Linked DNA regions of Arabidopsis thaliana. The protein of the gene in region 2 interacts with the protein of the main gene of each other region in a pairwise test. Each region holds a gene or a part of one and is shown on either strand. Other genes may lie near its edges.

Evidence for each region. Proteins that work in one complex are often made in the same cells at the same time.
Region 1: the proteins of AT5G28900 (region 2) and PYL4 interact in binary tests that used the Arabidopsis thaliana proteins (3 or more experiments, as listed by UniProt).

Annotation. Positions count from the first base shown.
Region 1 is NC_003071.7:16,046,537-16,052,793, forward strand, and holds PYL4 (PYR1-like 4), read left to right. Parts: upstream 1-3,381; 5' UTR 3,382-3,714; coding exon 3,715-4,338; 3' UTR 4,339-4,820; downstream 4,821-6,257. UniProt on the Arabidopsis thaliana protein: Receptor for abscisic acid (ABA) required for ABA-mediated responses such as stomatal closure and germination inhibition. Inhibits the activity of group-A protein phosphatases type 2C (PP2Cs) when activated by ABA. Can be activated by both (-)-ABA and (+)-ABA.
Region 2 is NC_003076.8:10,921,943-10,931,887, forward strand, and holds AT5G28900 (Calcium-binding EF-hand family protein), read left to right. Parts: upstream 1-3,692; 5' UTR 3,693-3,909; coding exon 3,910-4,062; intron 4,063-4,808; coding exon 4,809-5,036; intron 5,037-5,126; coding exon 5,127-5,232; intron 5,233-5,314; coding exon 5,315-5,414; intron 5,415-5,529; coding exon 5,530-5,635; intron 5,636-5,721; coding exon 5,722-5,812; intron 5,813-6,606; coding exon 6,607-6,748; intron 6,749-6,839; coding exon 6,840-6,987; intron 6,988-7,116; coding exon 7,117-7,226; intron 7,227-7,309; coding exon 7,310-7,466; intron 7,467-7,598; coding exon 7,599-7,724; intron 7,725-7,806; coding exon 7,807-7,950; 3' UTR 7,951-7,960; intron 7,961-8,095; 3' UTR 8,096-8,520; downstream 8,521-9,945. Other genes in the region: AT5G28910 (alpha-(1,6)-fucosyltransferase), read right to left, coding at 8,691-9,574, 9,745-9,945.

The DNA.
Region 1 (6,257 bases), on a different chromosome or scaffold from region 2:
TATAATATACCTCAGAGTAGTTTTGTCGGAATTAGGATCATTGATGATCGAGATCATTGTCTTTTTCTTAAGACATTTGGTTTAAAATTAATGTTAACTAAACTTTCTTTTCCTTCTGTTTTTCTTTTTGTTGCAAAATAATTTTTGATCCTCAACGATTTAAAAGATCCAGTACGTGACATGAATCAATTTATACAAAATATTAATTTATCGAAGTGAACTATACTTGATGGATTTTAAATCCTCTCATTTCTATTGATATAGCGATCAAATTAGTTAGAAAATTTATTTTTAAAATCAACCTTCTAATCTTCTGAGTACTTTTTAGTATTTAGAAAGTGATAAATCACAATACTAACTAATATATTGATTAATGGGTAGATTCATATATATTTATCTTTAAAACTTTTTGATGAGATTATGAGGTTTAGGGTTTTGCGTGGAATTGAATGCTAAAGGCAAAAAATGGAAGAGCGAGAGTGGTAGATAGACGAATAAATTACGATTACAAGGCGTGTGACTGCTCAGCTGTCTTTGATGTAGACCACATCATCACACATACCTCTTTCTTTCTTTCTTTTTCTGTTTTTTGTTCGACGAGAATCACGGGACAATGCTCCTCTCTTACCCCAAAATTATATATTATCTTTATATGTATTTTTGTAGATTCGTATGAGAGAATTAGTTTATGTGTAAAGTGGTCCTTGCTTGGTTTACGTTACACATCCGACCCCGTGAAGCGATGAATAGCGTTGTTAGTTGAGCCGTTTTTTTACATCGTTCGTTCCAAAAATATGTAATATTAACATACATAGTTATAAAATTTGACACCGTATAAATCGAAGTCCTATATGGTTTAATTTTAATTGCAAAGAAAGTCTTTTTAGACGAGTTTATGGTGATTTTTGTAATTACGATTTTAGTCATCGTAAGCCATTGAATACTACCTCTTCCGCATATTTCGACAATTAGTTTGAATATTTACCTTTACCACTTCTATTATGAAAACAATAAGATAAATACATTCTCACGTATATATGCTTATGATATAATATATTTTAGATCCAATTATGCTTTCGAAGTCCTCTTGGAATTCCAAGAAATATGAGCACTCACAAGATCAGTTCTATTAACATGTCTAACAAATTGTACTGTTTTATTTCTACGTAAATTTCAATCATAAGTTTTTGGTGCATCACGAAAACAATATACAATACTGTTTTCCAGTTGTATATATCTACTATAGATTCGGGTACATGCCATCCAATAAAACTTCGTTGCAGAATTAAATGGAGATTATGAGTTCATGAGATTAAACTATAGGCTTAAGTTCATATTTTCCAGTTAGTAAATAAAATTCTGCTAGCCAAACAAAAAAAGTTGTTCCCTACCAAAAAAAACAAAAAAAGTTGTTGAGGAGAGGAAATTGTAAGCTTTGATGAAGTAGAAAAAAGAAGAACTTTGTCATTCCCCCCACGTGTAAAGAGACTTGCCATCGATCCTTCACAAGCTTCTCGTCACCACTCCTTTCTTCTTTACACTTAATTTCCATCTTCCTTCTGCTTCTACACGTCCACATGCAATTTTGCACCGAGAATCCTAATTTGTGTCCTTCATTTTAAAGGTTTAAAAAGCATGTTTATAAAAACATGGAACTGGATGGTTTGTGAGATATGCCATCAAATTAGACAAAAGGGTCCATTAAGCCTGTGAAAAAAAAAGAAAAAAAAAACTAAGAGACGATCATAAGAGTTAGGTGTGACCTGACAAGATTCTTGTACACCCGAACCCGACTTGTGAACTGTGAAGTCAACCTCTAATTAACAGTTATTTTTTATTCCTACAAATACGGATCCAACATTATTCTCAATTAGTTGAAGTAATGTCTGTCTATTTGCACATTTTCAAACCCATAATCAAACAAAAGTTACATATCCTGACCCGCTGACCATATTATACACTCATCTGTGTATATCTCAAATCTCACTTGCAGGTAATTCTCTCTAGTACTTTTATGTAGATATATAGATATTAGTAGAATGTTAGCAAGAAAAGATGTAAAACATATATATCAACTATATTAGAACCCGTCCTTTGTGCGAGTTTTTGATTTTTATGATAATTTTAAGTTAACAAAAACTGAATTAATTTTGCTTTATATATTAAGATGTGTGTGAAGCTCAATACACAATATTAATCTATTCTTATCAAAAAAATTTATATTCAAAATTTACAGCAATTATAAAGAACTAATAGCATTGTATTATGACTTATCATTAAGATGGGGTTTGTGTCCATGTCCGGAGTTGTTAAAGGTTTGAAAACCCAGAGTTATGAATGTAAAGAAACAAGACAGAATGCTTGAAAACAGAGCATCAAGTAAATGTTTTGTGTTTATATTATTATGCAGCTAAAATGGAACCGGTGACGGCATTCCAACTTGGCCAATGGATGTCTAGACTCGCTATATTCTTCAAGGCAGACGACACATTCTTCCCCAACCTCGAAATTGAATTCCTCGACGGCAACAAAAATATATCTTCGAACGTTTTGTTGTGTCTGATCAGCCAACTCCACATCTTTAGGTAAACTCTAATATCCTAGAGAATAATAGAAATCTATAATACTAGTTACAATGTAGAAGAAGAGACAACCTATAACGAAGCTAGATACTATAGCCAACGTAACCAAACCAAACAACAAAAGTATGTTGTGATAGACCAGTTTTTCTTTCCAAAATACGGCCCAATTAAAAGTTTGGTTCTAAAAACAATTTGGGCCTTAGTTTGTATAGTTTAAAATGTGTTTCTTAGTGAGGATTGGTTTTTCATGCCCTTTTGTTTGTGTGCTCCTTTTTTTGTATATTGAAGATCATATCAAAGCAAAAGCAATACAATACTTTTCATTCAAAAAGTTCCTCCTTCTGCTTGTTCATCAAATCTCTCAGGTAATTAAATATATGGTTGTACCACTTTTAGTTTTGTGGTATTCGGCTCTGATGTTGAATACTTCAAATATCTAGATTTGCATCTGATGCAATTGAAAACCTTTTTTTTTTTTGCAATTGAAAACTCATATATATAGTATGGCTAGATATATGCAATTGAAAACTCATATATCTAGCCATACTATGAAATAACAATTGAAGAACTTCTAAGTTGAAAGAATTCTCACTTTGTATGTTTTGATGAATTTGATCTTACATTCCAATCGTTCCAAATATCGAAACTCTTAAAGCGTATTCAATCAAACGAATCTCGTCCTAGATATACCTTGGTCATTTCAAGAAGAAGAGAAAAAAGTTATGGTCAAGAAACTAAAAGTCTAAACCCATATTATAATTCTAGTGTTGATATACGAGAATTATATATTGGTCACTTGCCCAATTAAAAATATCGTGTATAGAAAACAGTCAAGTCAACAACTATAGCAAGGGGCAAAACCGTAATTTCACAACAAGCAACTTGCTCGGTTTTTTCGTTATCACCACTCACATGAACTCTGCATTAAAAACTCTATCTCTCTCAAATCGAAAGGCACAGCCCAACTTTTCGCAAGTCGCTGTAAAGTTTGATTTGCTTCTTTTTATATACACACATACTTCTCCTCCATACACTTTCCTCTTCAATCCTCAGTTTTTTTTCTAAGCCCTAATACCATCTCAAAGAAGAGATCAAGATTTGAAATCAAGAAGACACCATTACTCAGATCAACATGCTTGCCGTTCACCGTCCTTCTTCCGCCGTATCAGACGGAGATTCCGTTCAGATTCCGATGATGATCGCGTCGTTTCAAAAACGTTTTCCTTCTCTCTCACGCGACTCCACGGCCGCTCGTTTTCACACACACGAGGTTGGTCCTAATCAGTGTTGCTCCGCCGTTATTCAAGAGATCTCCGCTCCAATCTCCACCGTTTGGTCCGTCGTACGCCGCTTTGATAACCCACAAGCTTACAAACACTTTCTCAAAAGCTGTAGCGTCATCGGCGGAGACGGCGATAACGTTGGTAGCCTCCGTCAAGTCCACGTCGTCTCTGGTCTCCCCGCCGCTAGCTCCACCGAGAGACTCGATATCCTCGACGACGAACGCCACGTCATCAGCTTCAGCGTTGTTGGTGGTGACCACCGGCTCTCTAACTACCGATCCGTAACGACCCTTCACCCTTCTCCGATCTCCGGGACCGTCGTTGTCGAGTCTTACGTCGTTGATGTTCCTCCAGGCAACACAAAGGAAGAGACTTGTGACTTCGTTGACGTTATCGTACGATGCAATCTTCAATCTCTTGCGAAAATAGCCGAGAATACTGCGGCTGAGAGCAAGAAGAAGATGTCTCTGTGATGAGTCTTTGTCGTTGTCGGGTAGTTTCGTTAGATCCGACGTCGTTTTCTAGATTTTTAGCCGTCGTGTGATCTATGTTTTTTCGGCTTATGTGTGAAAAAAAAGTTACATTAGTGAATTAATCTCTCATGCATATCATAATCCTTCTTTTAATTTTTGTATTTTACATATCCCATAAAGAACCGATTTGGATAGCCCTATTCCGGCTTTCACCACCCAAAGATAATAATATTCAAACTGAAAGAATGTGGTTGTGTTGTCCGCTAATTAAAAGTGTGATTTTCAAGTTTAATTAATCTTGTTTTTCTATAGTTTCATCAGAAAAAGCGTAAATGAAATGGTACAATATGATGTTCGACTCGGATGTATATTAACTCGTTACATTGAGTTGTTGGCCATCTAATGTGTGTAGATAAATTTACGTACGTATAAACAGCTTTTGTGAAATTCGACGATTTTTCTTAAAGGCAACTTTAAATTTGGGCATAATATAATGTGTTCCTTTCCTCTATGATTTAACTAGGTCCTCAAACTTTTTACTTTCTTATTATTTCATAATAATTAAAATAACCGATTGAGCGTGAAGTTGTTATTTAAAAATCAAACATTTGATAGAGAATTCAAGATTTGAAGTTTTTATTTGTCATCATAAACTATTTGGTAGAAAATAGGGAGTAGTTGGGGATTTTCAGGCTTAAAGGTAATTGCGTAAAATGGACAAAACATACATGTATACAAAAATATGAACATGGCCGTCAAAATATAAAAAATAAAAAACGAACATGTTGATGAATTTAAAGAAATAAAAATTTGCAAGTGGACGATGCTTTGAATGATAACCCAACAAGCCAAGCTGTTCTCTTCTTCTTTTTTTTTCCCGCTTGATATAAAGAAAATGCAAGTTGCAATTTTTTTTATCTTTTACTTCCTTTCTTTATGGTTCTTCCCAATCCAAAAGATATAATATTAAATTTCGTATAATAATAAAGAAATATGGAATAGAGAGAAGCGCAAGTTGCATGTCCTTTTACATCACGAGAGTCACGATATGTTTCGTTTCCAAGTGATCTCTTAGAATATAATTATATAAATGTGTTTTTTTCAATATATTCGAGAGGTTTCTACACTTCTATCCACAAAAAGATATGTGATTGATCGACAAAACATGAATCGTATGAAATGAAAGATTTCATTTTCCTTAGATCTAAAACCTTCTACTTCTATGTTTGCAATATCATTATCGAGGTTCACCACTATGGTTACGTAACCATCATCACTACAAAATTTTCAGTCGATAATAGGAATAGCATAAAAATACACAAAATGTTATAACTTTCAATTACTAATTTTTGTGGTCGTCAAATATCGACAAATATAGCATAGCTTTACTAATCATAACTTCATAAGATACATACTTAATGTGGCCACGAAAGGTGTAAAAACAAAAAAAAGGGATGGGAAAGAGTTGGCGGTGCAAGTGGAAGTGGGGTAGCTGCGATTTTTTTGCAAGTTGGGCAAAACATATTAATTGTGATTTACAAATTGATGAATTTTCTTATTTCTCAAAACATAAAAATGAAAGTATATGTGCCTTTGCGATCCATCACGCCACTGTTTCCTATAATTTGATTGGACCTCTGCCCAAATTTCCGATCGTTGGAGAAAAGGAAAATAAAAATAAAAATCGAATATAAGTGTATATGAATATAATTCACAAGTTGCCACATATTAGTATATCGCTTCTTGTTATATAAAGAGGCTTCATGTGATGCTTCTAGACCGAACCACCTACATCGGCGTATGGCCATAATTGTAGTTGGGGTCGGGTTAAGGTAATTTATCATTTGTACTAATTCATAATTCTTTTTATTTTCTGTTATAAATATCATCTGGAAGGTCCAAGGCCATAAGTATTGACG
Region 2 (9,945 bases):
GCACTTAATCCATAGTTTAACCACATCTCTAAGCCTAATTTATAGGTATGTTATATATACTTTTTTTTGGTATTGGTAAGTTGTAAAGGATTATAGAAGAGCATCATTTTAGCTTACTCGTGCATATTTTAATAAATTTAATTTTGTTTTTAACATTCGTTTTGTTCTCCTTTTTTGTTCTTTTGTAAAATTGTATTTTAAAATAACTATTGTTTTCAAATGTTTGCTACTTAATTTGTTCGTATTTTGATTTCTTACCCATATATATATATTTATTGATGGATGGTTAACAATTTTAACAATATTTTGAAACTACTCTATGCAATGATTGGTAATATAAGAGTTGGATTTTATTATATTTAAAAATTCTCTGCAACAGCAACAGAGGAAAAACATGAAAGTAAAAAAAAACTACTTGAATTTATTTATTTTGAAGCTTTATGATAGTTCATTGGCTAAAACATTATTGGTGCTAATTTTAATGAAATGATAGTTGCTGACCAAAACTATTGTAATAATAATAATTTAAAAAAAAACAGTAGAAAATTATTATTGAATTATTGTTTTGTGTTTTGGTATTTTTGTGCTTTATCCTTCTATCAGCCTTTACTTTTTTAATATACCCTAAATTGGTCCGACACAAACAAAGACTTTTTATGCTTCAGCCTTCAAGTAGGGATTTGTTAATCGTCTATCGATCTATGTTCATATCTAATTTAATTTGCTTTACTGTTGTTTGACGAATTTTATCTCGTCGGATGGCTTTCGCAATTCTCCGTTGTTTCTTAGGATGATTAATCGTCAAATCTATTAGTTGGAACTAAGCCTTCTGTAAAAATAAAATATCATTCTGGGGCATCGGTGAATCAAATGATCAAAGGTTCCAGCTACTGTTGTCGGTACATTGAAAGGCATGCGTCTGGAATATCAAAGTCGACAATTCAACATGTATACATAGTATGTTAAGATTTAACAAAAAATTACATTCGAATATCTGTAAATTTCATTTTTCTTTTTCTGTTACAATTTAAAACATGCACCTAATGTATTATTATAGTTGTCCAAATTAAAAACAATTTAATTTGTTTTAAAAATTTGATTTGAAAAATGCTAAATAATATGTTTATATGACAAACAAATGGATTTTAACTACAACTACTAAGAAGTATAAAACACTCGGCCATATATATACGAAAACCAAACCAATATCTTCACTCTCTTTTATCAAAAAGCTTTTAACCTCAGCTGTTCAATAATTCACCAATCATGGTGACCAGAAACATCGCCTTTTATGGATTCCAATAAGAGGTCTATTATCTGAACGCACTTAGGGTTGTGCTCTCAGAGTTTATCTCGACTTTGATCTTCGTCTTCGCTGGCTCATGCTCCGGAATTGCTTTCAACAAGCTCACTAACAATGGAGCCACCACTCCTACCGGCCTCGTCGCCGCTGCCTTAGCTCATGCTTTAGGTCTCCTTGTTATTTGTTTCTGTTGTCGCTAACATTTCTGGTGGCCACGTTAACCCTGTCGTTACATTCGGTGTCTTTCTCAGTGTGTCAGAGGTAACATCATTCTCCTCAGTGGTATTTTCTACTTGATTGCTCAGCTTTTTGGCTCAGTCGCCGCGTATTTCCTCCTTATCTTTCCCACTGGTGACGAGGTAACATCACTTATTACACTTATTGCCTTACTAAACCAGGTTAGTATTGTTTTCAATTTGATTTTAGTTGTAATTTCGATTATTGGTTTTTTTCTTCTTCTCTATTTTCTTCACAGTTGTTATTAACCAAGAATAGTAAATATTTAAGATTCGTATAATACAATAATGTTTCTATTATATTTATAATTTCAAGCTGAGACTAATGTTAATATTTAGATATTTTAAATAGAAAATCATATGTTTAGTAAATATTTACCAGGTAATGGAAGATTTGTGTTGGCAAAACCAACCAAGTGAGCGTAATTGTAAACTTTAAACCCAATCGCCTATGTCTATAATCATAATAATTTAATATCTTTAATAACACCATACCAACATATATGAACTTCATACGTTAAAAAATAACTTGAAAGAATCACAATCGTTATAATTTACCGTTTATTTTTCTTCCTATCATTTTATAAAAAACAACTATATTTTCTAATTGATCGACACACATTTCACCAGCTAAATTTGTTATGAAATCAACATGTTAGAGGATTTGTTACAAATTTAAGGTTAATAGTGCTCAAGAAAATATTTAAAAATATAGAAAGAGTGATGGTTGAAGTTCTTACTTATGATAGGTTCATATGTTGAATTAATTACTAATTATATTTTACTTATTTTAATAAGTCTAGGTGGCAAGCTCTCATGTGCTGATGTGTCAAGTTGTGGGAGAGAGTTGAGCTCCTTTCATATATATAATTTACGTTATATTTTGCCTCTTAAGTTTTGTAGTGACCATCATAATTTCTCTTTTGATGTCTTTGTGGGCAAATGAGGTAATCTAGAAAGAAATTACATGGATGAAGATGATATAGAACATACGAGATCTGATGAATGACAGATTACTATAGTTTTTCTTTTCCCTAGTTAATGTTGTTAATAAGGGGATAATTTTGCTAAATTTGGTAAAAGTACATGAATTATATATGATATGTGATTTAGTCAAGAAAAATTATGTGAACCTGATTAGATTTTACCATGTCTCAGGTTTTCAAGAATGCAATTTTTATTTCCATGGACTAGTTGAAATAGTTACCTATAAAATATCTTATGACATAAATCGATCTAGATATGATCTACATACAATTAGAACGCTTAAACGTGGAAACTTAATTGATGATATGCTTTATGGTGATCAAGAAGAAGATATCAACAAAGTGTTGAGATACTAACAAAAATAGTTTTTTTTTCTTGTTGTTATAAATATTGAGTCAGACTTTAAGTTACACGTATTTGCAAACTATAGTTTTGTGTTAGTTTTTTTGATATCAACACATTTCTATTTATTTGGCAACAAAATACTTTTCATAAGAGCATTTCTATGTCATATATTATAATTTATGTGATAAAGATAAAGATCACGATTTCCCGATTGACAAAGAAAATCTTATGAAATATGGAAAACATGATATGAAACACATCATATGTTTCTCATTCGTCAAGTATTTTTTATATGATATATAAAACTTTCTTTCTTTCTAGAATCCATGGCTCTTGTATAAGGTAGATTGTCTAACTCGTTACTCTAGATAGTATATTATATGAAATTTGTTTCGTAAATATTTTTCCTTAAGATTGGACTACCAATTATGAAGTAATATTTTAACTAATGTGTGGTTGACAAAATATAGAAAAAATCAAGAATCCAACCACATGTTGAGAAAAAAAATTTCTACTTCAAATACACTTACTTATTTTTATTATTTAGTCAACGAAATATTAATTTATTTATGGACATATTTTTAAAAATACCATAAAATTAATTTTTGTTATAAAACATTATTAGTAGTTTATATTTTTTTGAAAGTACCACTAAAATATATTATTTTCTGAAAATACCACAAAATTACTTTTAAAGTTTTCAAAACTAGATCCTAAACTCTAAAAAATAAACCCTAAACCCCAAAAAACTTAACTCAAACCCAAACATTTAATAAATTATAAACCCTTAAAATCAACTTTTTGTGTTTCAAGTATTTTTTGGGTATCTCTCTAATTTATTTATTTATTTCAGATTGCTCAAAAGAATAAATAAATAAAAGAATTTGGCTGTCTCATTTCCTTGTTCGGAATCGGAGAAGAAGGAAGACTAGATTCGATGTGTTGGTGAAGAAGATCTCGACTTTGTTCAAAATTCCAATTTCGCTCGCCTCAAAGATCATTCTCTCATCTTCTCGACTTTGATGCGATTGATTAAATATGGTGGATACGGTTATTCCCGGAGATATGGCTTGTTTGGATGCAGATTTGTTGCAGCTTCAGGAAATGTCTTCCTTTGTTCTCAATTCTAAACCTGGATTCACTCAGAAGCTCTTCGACCAGTGGCTTTCTCTTCCCGAAGCTCAGCGACAGGTTTCTGCTTTTTCACTATTCTTACACTCATGCTTCTTAGCTTACTCTCTGTTAGTTCGAATCTTTCTTTCGTAATGTTACAATGATACTTCGGTTGCTTACTTACTCTGTGGTGTTGAGGATTGGTGTAAAGTTTGAATCTTTCTTTGATACTGTTAGTGGGTATTACAGTGATGCCTTAGGTGGTTACTGATATTTGGTTGCTTAATTACTCTCTGGTTTCTGTTGAGGATTGGTGTAAAGTTGGGATCTTTGATAGTGTTAGTTATTACAATGATGCTTAGCTTACTGAGAATGGTGTAAAGTTCGAATATTTCTCTGATTGTGTTAGTGAGTATTATAATGATGCCTTAGGTGGTTACTTAGATTCGGTTGCTTAATTACTCTGTGGTGTAAAGTTCGTATCTTTCTTTGATAGTGTTGGTGAGTGTTACATTGATGCTTAGGTTACTGAGATTTACTCTGTGGTGTTGAAAGATTGGTGTAAAGTTTGAATCATTTTTTGATTCTGTGAGTTATGACGTATATTCTTATTTTCTTATGTGAGTATTACAATGAAGCTTACGTTAATGAGATTTGTTTGCTAAATTACTCTGTGGTGTTGAAGATTGGTGTAAAGTTTGAATCTTTCTTGGATTGTGTGAGTTATGACAATGATGCCTTAGGTGGTTAATGAGATTTGGTTGCTTAATTACTCTCTATTCACTGGAATCTCTAGTCTAATCTTTTTCTCGTTGGTTTTCTAGGTTGGATCATTGCTTAAGGATGCTGTAGCTGGAGCTCCTATCAATGTTACTGGAAGTGCATCGGGTTCTAATTCTGCCACTATACCATCTATGTTTCCTGCGGGAAGTGCTCCTCCGCTTTCACCAAGGAGTTGTGGTTCACCCCGTACAACCAAACAGAGAGCCCCTTCTAACTTAGGTTCTACTCTCAAAGTAGTCAACGAGCCTGTTAAAGAGCCTATACCTCAGGTTTCTTTTCCTCTTTTTCTTCCTTCTTTATATATATATAGTAATGGAATGGAGTTAACTCACTGATTTCTTAACTTGAAATGATTCTAGTTTTATTTCCAAAATGGTCGCCCTCCACCAAGCGAGATTAAAGAGCAATGTATGTTTAGAATCAATCACTTCTTTTATGGTCACATGGATGGCTTGCAGATACAAGGTTAGAAGTCAGTCATTTGTTTTCTACTAATTATATTTGAACTGTTTATTAACTTTTTTCTCCATTTTCAATCAATACTCAGAATTCAAGTTAGTCACCAGAGAAATCTGCAAGCTCCCATCTTTCTTCTCCACTTCCCTTTTCCGGAAGATCGATCTCAACAATACAGGTTTTGTTACTAGGTGTGTGCCGCTTCTTCTATGCTTTTTTTTTTTTTGTATGGTGCTTCCTCTTCATGTCTGCATAGTTTACTGAAACACCACCCAGTATAACAGTTTTTCGTGTTTGTTTCTACAGAGATGCATTTATTGATTTTTGGGTAAACGGGAACATGTTGATAATGGATACAACGACCCAAATCTTCAAGATACTAAAGCAGAAAGATCAGAGTTTCATTGTTAAGGTTATTTTCTTTTAAGATTTGCATATTCAGTCAGTCATGAGAGCGAGTTTATTATATTCCAGATTCTTTTCTTTTTTTCATGGCAGGATGATTTCAAACCACTACTCAAAGAACTGTTGGCGACGCATCCTGGGCTAGAGTTCCTGCAATCCACACCTGAATTCCAAGAAAGATATGGTTAGGTCTCAACTTTATTTACATTTTTAGTATCCTAAGTTATCTCATGTTTTCTTTTTCCGCTTGGTATTGCTTGAGTAATGGTGTTTAGTAATTGAGTTTGGTTGTGCATTTTATTCTTTGAAGTATATTGGTAGCTACAGCCCTAGTTGAGAAGAATGAGTGAATAAGTTTGCCACTTTGGTATGATGTACTTATCTAAATCTGTCAGATGGTTACCAGATCAATAGTATTTCTTCTTGATATTGCTTGAGTAATGGTGTTTAGTAATTGAGTTTGATTGTACATTTTATTCTTCGAAGTATATTGGTAGCTACAGCCCTAGTTGAGAAGAATGAGTGAATAAGTTTGCCATGTACTTATCTAAATCTGTCGAATGGTTACCACATCAATAATATTTCTAGTGAAATAAATAATTTTGATAATTGATGCATCGAGATACAGTAATAAATGTGGCATTACTCTGTATGGATTTTAAAATTTTTATAAGATACGGTTTCTTTGTTTTGTTGTGTTAGACATCATCTTATAACTTGCAAATCCATAAAGCTTTCAAGCACGGAATGAATCATCTTCAGTCTATGAATCCTGCAGATATAATCAATATCAGAAAAAATAAATTCTGGAGCTTGTTTATGAATCATGCGTCAGTTAGTAATGAATTCCCGAGAACACTTTGATTGCTTTCTAGATATCTGGAGTCCATATTCTTTGGTATTTGCTGCTACCGGTATCAAAGCTAAATTTTTAAGGATGCTTTTCTGTCTGATACAATTTGTATTTTGCTGAAACAGCTGAAACTGTCACCTACCGAATATTTTATTACATAAATAGATCTGGCAATGGTCGAATTACATTTAGGGAGCTTAAACGGGGAAACTTAATTGATGCTATGCTACATGCTGATGAAGAAGAAGATATTAACAAAGTGTTGAGGTACTGACAAAAATATTTGCGTGCTATTGTTGTATTTATAGTATTGTTTTTGCTCATTTAACATCACTTTTCTATTCACTTTGGCAATTAGATACTTCTCGTATGAGCATTTCTATGTCATATACTGCAAGTTCTGGGAGCTGGATACGGATCACGATTTCCTGATTGACAAAGAAAATCTTATGCGATATGGAAACCATGCTCTTACCTACCGGATTGTCGACAGAATATTCTCCCAGGTTCTGTCTAAAAAACCTTGCTCTTTAATGCCTACTACTTGAAGATTTTATTTATATTGCTTCTATTTTAAGAGTTCTTTCCTCGTTCAAAGTTATTATTGCTCTTAAGATGCATTGGTTTCTTCTCAGGTTGCTAGGAAGTTCACTAACAAAGTTGAAGGGAAGATGGGGTATGAGGACTTTGTCTATTTCATTCTTGCGGAAGAAGATAAATCGTCAGTGCCTAGCCTAGAATATTGGTAAGTTGTGATAGAAGGGTCCGAAAGTTGCAGACAGATACCATTTTAAGTCTTTTATCTGACACAAGTATACGTTGGACTAGGTTTAAGTGCATAGACTTGGATGCAAATGGGATTATTACGCGAAATGAGATGCAATTCTTTTATGAAGAGCAGTTGCATAGAATGGAGTGCATGGCGCAAGAGGCTGTTCTTTTCGAGGATATCTTATGTCAGATGATTGATATGATCGGACCTGAGGTTCAACAATATATCTCTTGTTTTCTTCTTTCTATATTTAGTATAGTCACAGAAGTAGTTTGTGTTCCCAGTTTTCTTTCTGAGTCTTGTGATTTTGTTTTGTGTTTGATTGTTTTTTATTTCCTTCCACAGAACGAAAGCCATATAACGCTGCATGACCTGAAAGGCTCAAAGCTCTCTGGAAACGTCTTCAACATCCTATTTAATCTCAACAAATTTATGGCATTTGAAACCCGGGATCCATTCCTCATTCGTCAGGTACTAATCATCTAATTTACCTTGCTACTTCTTCACACCACCACATGCGTCTTATAACATTTCTAATGTCAAACGGAAACAGGAGCGAGAGAACCCTACATTGACAGATTGGGACCGTTTTGCACATAGAGAGTATATTAGGCTATCAATGGAAGAAGATGTTGAAGATGCATCTAATGGAAGTGCTGAGGTTTGGGATGAGTCGTCGCTGGAGGCTCCCTTTTGAGTTCATAAAGGTAAGTCAACGGAAAACCGTAGTGTCTAGAAGATAAAACTAGTGGAAAAGGATTAGAAAAAAAAGAAACTGAAAAAACTTTGATGTTGATGCTTGTGCAAATGTTATTATTTCATAATATAACTTAATCATGCAGAAGAGAAATGTAAAGTCCCTGAGAAGAACATTTGGAGCTTTGTTGAGGAAGGAAAGTGAAAAACAAACGAAAAGCCGGTAGTATCCTCTGTTGAATACCATACTTAGCTTGGATTTGTTTTCTAACTTCTCTTTATTTGTTAGCTGATTCTACAGTTATATTTATTAACAATCGTCTAGATTTTACAGTCTTCTTCACCTGTATTGCATTCACTTTGCTCTGATGTTTCTATCTCTGGGTGTTACTTCATCATCTCCAGATGTTGAGACTTGTGAATTTCAATGCTATAGTTCCTTTAATTTTTGGTTGGTTCCTGAAGACACAGGATGTCACTGAGATGAGAAGAGGTTGGTTGTGTTATTACTATTGATCTTGAAGTGATGTCTTTTTATTTGTGAAATTCTTAAGGAAAAGCCACTTTGCTCTGTTCAGTTGATCTTCAAATCTTCACATCGGAATCGGTTTAGTTGGTTTGCGGTTGCTCTGAACTGTTTGTCAACCAAACCTCCCTTTATTATACTGAAAACTCTTTGTGCAACAGATGAAGAAAAAAGGAGAGGAGTCTTATTATGTACATAGTGTGGAACTCGCAAAGTTACCAGAACCGATCTTTATTGACACTGAGATAACCAGACATGACTTTCCCACCCGTATTCCTCATACCATCGATGAGGAAACACCAAGTGGAACCCAATGCTCCGACGAAGAAATCAGCTTCTGACGCCATTAAGAAGTTAACCAGAGGATAGTTTGTGCTCATCTCTCTCCCGAGGCTCGCTTCATACTCAGCCATCGACTTATTACCGACTTGTCTTGCCACTTCCGTGTAATAGAATCTCCAGTGAGCATAATCTTTACTTCTGTCCACCACTTCCTTCATCTCTGTAGAGAGCCAGATCCTGTTGAGCTCTGGAAACCGATCTCTGATCCGATCAGCTAAATGCATGTACTCTTCTAAAGCTGCGACTCTCATCTCGCATGCTTTGTCTCCCATCCGTACGTGAACACTCAGCATTGGCCTTGGAAGCCACGGCTTGTGATCCGACCACACCTGTTCCTCAATCTCTGTCCTCATCTTCTTATTCTTCTTTCTCCAATCTCCAGCTGAAAGAACAATCTTGGCAGCTTCTTTTCCAAACGCGGAATTTCGAGCAATGTTCATCAAACCGCAAGTGTATTCTGTTTGATATCTCATCAAGTATCTCACTGCTTGTGCTCTCCACCATCTCCGATCCATTTTCCGATGATTGGAGATTAAACTTCCGTTGATTTCTGTAGTTGGCTTCATATAACTCCAAGGCTTACCCCATTGCTTTGGTATAGCCCCAGCCCAAATCTCCTTTGTGCTATAATTTTGTTTCCCTGTAACAATCCCACTCTCCCACGCTTCTCTCTTCTTCACAATCGCAAAGGCTCGTTTTCGACACTCTTCTGACGTTTCCTGTAGAAAATAGCAAGACCAGTTTCCACGAAAAGAACCTGCATCAAAACAAAAGAGAAACACCAAATCAAATCCAAAGTTTGGTTCTTATATACACTTTTCAGCGTCTAAAACATCTTGATAAGAAGATTAACCAAGAAGATGTAATTTGTGATAGTTGCTGCTATATGTTAGAGTGAAGACTCAAAGGATTAAAGCCTTTATGTACCTTTGCAACCATCATGATCTGCTCGGTTGTAGTAATTTGCAACAAGCACTCGGTTTTCATTTATAGCTATCGCGAGTAGACCAGTCATTCCAGCTATCTGAGCTCCTATTCCAAAACCAGGAAGTGTTTCCCAATCAGCTACAAGGAACTTGAGACTCTTGTTTCCGCAATCCAAAGGATGCTGATGAATCCATATATCTC